Linked DNA regions of Daphnia pulex. The protein of the gene in region 2 binds, or shares a complex with, the protein of the main gene of each other region. Links are inferred from orthologs where the notes say so. Each region holds a gene or a part of one and is shown on either strand. Other genes may lie near its edges.

Region 1 (2,466 bases), on a different chromosome or scaffold from region 2:
CGATGCTTCTTGGCAGCCACCTTTTGCAGTACTTCAAACCACGTAGGCTATACTTATTATTTTTTTATGAATACCACTGTGAAAGATAAGATGTTTGTATGTATATTTTAATATAAAATCTGCTTGTTTGGTTACCATCTCTAATATCTGACCTTGTAGGATGGGAGAAATTGCTATAGAATTGTACTGGAACCATGCCCCCAACACTTGTAGAAACTTTGCTGAACTCTGTCGTCGAAATTACTATGCAGGCACTAAATTTCATCGGATAATCCGAGATTTTATGATCCAAGGTAATTAATTGAAAACTTTTTTTTCATTGATTATGAATTAAGTTAAAAAATTTATAGGTGGTGATCCCACTGGTACTGGAAGAGGAGGAGCATCTATATATGGACGTAATTTTTCTGATGAATTACATGATGAACTGAAACACACAGGTAATAATTACAAATAAAATAAGTAATGGAAACAACATTCAGGGGCCTGAATGACACACATTCAAAGGAAATGACTTTTAACTTTGTGTGTGTTTAACAATAGGCCCTGGTATACTGTCCATGGCGAATTCAGGACCAAATACCAATGGATCTCAATTTTTCATAACACTAGGTATTTAAAAAAAAAAATTAATAAACTTTGAATTCCTACATCAAATGCAAATTTATTTTATATTTATTTTAGCTCCAACCCAATGGCTAGATGGCAAGCATTCCATTTTTGGGAGAATTTATTCAGGCATGTCTGTTGTGAAAAGGATTGGGTTTGTAGAAACAGATAAAGATGACAGACCAACTGATGATGTGAAAATCGTAAAATGTACAATCAAATATGAATGAATAATACATAATTGATCCTGCTTCTAAATCTAGTTTTACACAAAAAATATTAGTACTATGTAGCAATTTCTTTTGTCGAAATTCGGTTAATTATAGCATCCAATAAAGAAACAATTTTTGTTTCTTCTTCTTTGATTTTATAAATTTTCCTCAGCTCATTTTCATCACATGTTTCAAAATTGTCTTGGGTGGGTTCTGCCAATTCTCCTTTGACTTTAGAACAGACAAGTTCCATATCTTCTTCATTAAGTACCACACAAAGAAAATATGTATCTTTATCATTCATTCCAAATATTTTTAAGGAATCTGTAATCTGTTCCAAGCATTAAAAATAATTTCCATATTTAATAAAGTTTGCATGCTGTACAACTGCACATTAAAAAAATACCTTTTTTGTTGGGGACATGTTATAAACAATTTCAGAAAACACAGAATGTGTTTTAAGGGTATGACTTTGATGGCTCATCACAGCAAGTTGGGTGGCCACTAATACTTGAAAGGTGTCCAATACCTAGCAGTCATAAATTTATATTCTTCGTCAAACATAAAATTGAAAATTGAAATGCATACATATCTAGGATTAATTGCAGCGCAAGGAAAGCTAGCTTTCATAATCCTTTCTCGAATTTCACTTGCATTGGTTACATTTTTAAAAAGTAACAACTTGGGCTCGCATTCTTTAAATGCCCACATTTTATTATTGTTTGCTCAAATATGACTAAATAACGACTAAATATGGGAGTCACGAATCGGTAAATTTTTTTATTTCAAAACGTGTTCTGACTGCTGCTGGTTCCCACAGTTTATAGTCTGTCTGCTTCAACCGGCTGTATGTAACCTGGCTGTAACACTGCAAGACGTTGTCATGGCAATTATTTGCAGACTAAAATGCGACTTCAAATCTTCATTTCAGTAGACACTACATCGACTACAGTAAACACTAAACAACAAATTTAAGAACCTGTACGTTTGATGGTGGTCCTTTCTTATTTATTTATTGAAAAGTGATTTGAAAAATTCTTGATACAATTTTCTTTTTTGGTTTAGGTATAAATATTTCCACCTTTTTTAAAAATGAAGGGCTCCAATAACAGCTCTCTAGATAGGCAAGGTAAATGTCAAAATTAATTTACTCTTGATTTACTTATGATTCAAACTAATGAAAATAACTGTTTAGATAGGCATTCTCATCCAATTGGAGCTGCATTAACCTTCATTGTGATACTTTTGGGTCTTGGAGTACCAGTATGGTGGAATACCACTACTGTACAAAGAGCATCTTTACCACTGGAAGAACTGTCCACTATGGCTAAAGTGTCTGGGAGTGAACAAAGTATCCCTATTTTATTAAAAGGCATCAATGATGCTGAAATAATGGCAAAGAAACTGCAAAGTGCACTAGTTCAGTCCAAGGACCCATGTAAGTAACTAAAACAATATAATAAATGTTTAGATTTGAAGATTATGTTAACAATTTTCAAAATTTTTTTAGTAACTTATAACTTCAGTATTGTTCCATATAAATTCAGCCCTGAAGAAGTAAAAATTTTGTTGTCACAAAAGTCAGTTGATGCCATAGACATGTACTTTGAGGAACTATCTGAATCAGAGTTTATTAACATATTAT
Region 2 (3,083 bases):
ATCTTGCGAAACAAATAGTTTTCCTTTTCCCCACAGAGGTCCAAATTGACGGAGATTGCCGCCATTTTTCATTGTCTCCCGCTATGATGAGGCATTAAAGGAGGAAGGGGGGCAATCAAATTCGATTTCTTCGCCACTACCCCTGTATGTTTTAATGCGCATTTTACGATTATTAAACTAATGAAAGACATAGAGCAGCACGATATGGTGATATTTTTAAATAATAAAATATTAGGTAATGGCCCAGGGATTATACATTACATTAAATAATTTTAATCAACCAGTAGATACGTGCACAAAGAAATAATCGGTCATAACAGTATGAGTGCCTTATATCAAGCTAAAAATCAAAGCTACCATGTTCCAAATCAAGCTAAAATTTAATCAACTAAAACTTCCCTTAAAATTAAGAATGTTAATCTGATTGATACTGATACATGGAAACGAGAAGTTCCATAAATTTTTTTATACCAATCTTCTAATTAAAAACACCTATTGCATATTGCATTCAAGGTATTCCGTATTCATAGTCAACACACAAATAGACCAGCCATAAGGTGCGCGAAACTCGAAGTCTCGAAAATTTGAAACTCTTAACAATTTTTTTGTTGACGGCGTCCATTGTCGTCTGCTACCAAGACGTTTGCACTGCGACGTTTCGCAAACACCGATTTCGCAGTTTAGTACGGACCCAAAGACTAAAATGCGAAACAGGGTCCCAACTTTTGGGTCCGTTTCGCACAGCTGTTTCGCATTTTAGGCGTTTCGCGTTTCGCGTTTCGCTTTCGCAGTTTAGGGACGCCCTTGGAGCGCTGTCGTCTGCTGACTGCTCTGACTCTGTCTGTACTCTCTGACTCTCTACACATGGACTACTCTAACTAATAACTATACATCAGCTTCTGTTCTGATGATCTGACACGCTCTTGCGACGATTGTAGTCATTTTTTTAAAGTTGCACTAGTCTGAGGTTCCATATTATAAATATTCATTGAAATATGGTTGTTTCGATAGGTTTTGAAGGTAGTGCAAATAAATTGGGTATTGGAATAATTCAAGATGGAATTGTTTTAGCAAATCCCAGGAGAACATTTATTACACCACCTGGAGAAGGTTTCATTACATCAAAAGTTCTAAACACGAAAAATAATGCGTATTGTTTTTTTTTAACTTATGACATTTATTATAGGTTTTAAACCTGTTGATACTGCAATTCATCATCAGTCAAATATTGTCCTCTTACTGAAAGAAGCTTTGGATGAAGCTAAGGTTTGATACATTTTAATTAGACTGTGAGAAACTCGTATTTCACTTCCAAAAAAATAAATCATTTATAATTCAGATTCATCCAGAAGAAATTGATGTGGTGTGTTACACCAAAGGACCTGGCTTAGGAGCTCCTTTGGTGTCTGTAGCTGTGTTTGCAAGAACAATTTCACAATTATGGAGAAAGCCAATTATTGGTGTCAATCATTGCATCGGGCGTACTTAATTCTTAAATTTTATATTGCTAATTTTAGTTGGACTCAAATATCATTCCATTTATTGCAGACATAGAAATGGCAAGATTAATCACAAGCGCAAAAAATCCTATTGTTCTCTATGTTAGTGGAGGGAATACTCAAATTATTGCATACTCCCAGAAACGTTATAGAATATTTGGGGAAACAATAGACATTGCAGTTGGGAATTGCTTGGATAGATTTGCCAGAATTCTTAAATTGTCAAATTATCCAAGCCCTGGGCACAATATTGAGCAGTTGGCAAAAAATGGGAAAATTTATGTCCCATTGCCATACATTGTCAAAGGGATGGACATGTCTTTTTCTGGAGTCTTGACACACATTGAAGATTTTGCTGCAACTTTACAAGAATATTCTGTGGAAGATCTATGTTTTTCACTGCAAGAAACTGTTTTTGCTATGGTACACATGCCAAAATCATTGCAACTAAAATTACATTTAATTTCCAATTGAATACTTCCGTTTCTTTTTTATGTACATTTATAGCTTGTTGAAACAACCGAGAGAGCAATGGCGCATTGTGGATCGCAAGAAGTGTTGATTTGCGGTGGCGTTGGATGTAGGTTTCATTTTCTTTATATTATTCTTGTCATCTAAGGATTTGTTTTTAGGTAATCTTCGACTTCAAGAAATGATGTCTGAAATGTGCAAGGAACGAGGAGCTAAGGTTTGTTGAATCATTGTGTAATTTTATCACAACAAATTTTGTTCATGGCTTTTCTGTTTTCTTTTAAGGTTTTTGCAACGGATGAAAGATTTTGTATAGACAACGGGGCCATGATAGCTCATGCCGGAGCAGAAATGTTTAGAGTTGGTGCCGTCACCTCTTGGAAGAACACATTTTGCACGCAACGATATAGAACAGATGAAGTGGAGGTAAATTGGAGAGATGAACAATAATAACTTTTAAAATGGCTAAATAAACTAGCTGCGTTAATCAAAGACAAAGTTATGCCCATTTTGCACGCAACGATATAGAATAGATGAAGTGGAGGTAAACTGGAGATGAATAATAAAACAATAATAACTTTAAAAATGCCTAAACAAACTAGCTGCGTTAATCAAAGTTTATGGTATGCTCGGCATGTCGACATGACACCACCCTACTATATCCCCCACCTCTACCAGAACATTGGCCATCAGGGTGTCCGACATTCAGGCCTTAACGTTCAGGACTGAATGCCGACCAAATTTGTGCCCAAATGTTTTCTTTCCAAGTCATTCAGGCCCACTTTGTTATATTAGCTACATCTAAAATATTTGTTGAAATTACGGGTATGGTATTCAATCAGGTAAGAGGACAGAAAAGAAAAGTCAACAAAAACATACGCCGTTGACTCTCCACGAGTATTCGACGCTGAATGAAAAGGCGATCAACTGATCAAGGTTATGTTTACACGACGGCAGTTAGGCCTACAACCACATCCTTTTCGCTGATTTCATGTTGGAGGAAATTGTGGCGTCATTTTGAGGTTTGGCGTTCAACATCCAAAATCAAGGGGATCGCAACTCAAATTTGCTTTTTATTTTGTTAGTATACTTTTTTCCTTGCTTTTTATTCCT

The links. Proteins that work in one complex are often made in the same cells at the same time.
Region 1: probable tRNA N6-adenosine threonylcarbamoyltransferase (region 2) and EKC/KEOPS complex subunit Tprkb-like share a complex: the UniProt entries of both Homo sapiens proteins name them as parts of the EKC/KEOPS complex. The link is inferred for Daphnia pulex from reciprocal best matches to the Homo sapiens genes OSGEP and TPRKB.

The regions. Positions count from the first base shown.
Region 1 is NC_060026.1:5,617,215-5,619,680, reverse strand, and holds EKC/KEOPS complex subunit Tprkb-like, read right to left. Parts: upstream 1,670-2,466; 5' UTR 1,533-1,669; coding exon 1,410-1,532; intron 1,351-1,409; coding exon 1,228-1,350; intron 1,153-1,227; coding exon 895-1,152; 3' UTR 840-894; coding exon of another isoform or gene 685-839; 3' UTR 648-684; downstream 1-647. Other genes in the region: peptidyl-prolyl cis-trans isomerase-like 1, read left to right, coding at 1-42, 160-293, 351-440, 544-612, 685-839; GPI transamidase component PIG-S-like, read left to right, coding at 1,914-1,950, 2,017-2,259, 2,332-2,466. UniProt on the Homo sapiens protein: Component of the EKC/KEOPS complex that is required for the formation of a threonylcarbamoyl group on adenosine at position 37 (t(6)A37) in tRNAs that read codons beginning with adenine.
Region 2 is NC_060019.1:5,074,007-5,077,089, forward strand, and holds probable tRNA N6-adenosine threonylcarbamoyltransferase, read left to right. Parts: upstream 1-811; 5' UTR 812-995; coding exon 996-1,110; intron 1,111-1,186; coding exon 1,187-1,266; intron 1,267-1,339; coding exon 1,340-1,481; intron 1,482-1,548; coding exon 1,549-1,922; intron 1,923-2,006; coding exon 2,007-2,079; intron 2,080-2,131; coding exon 2,132-2,187; intron 2,188-2,255; coding exon 2,256-2,420; 3' UTR 2,421-2,462; downstream 2,463-3,083. UniProt on the Homo sapiens protein: Component of the EKC/KEOPS complex that is required for the formation of a threonylcarbamoyl group on adenosine at position 37 (t(6)A37) in tRNAs that read codons beginning with adenine.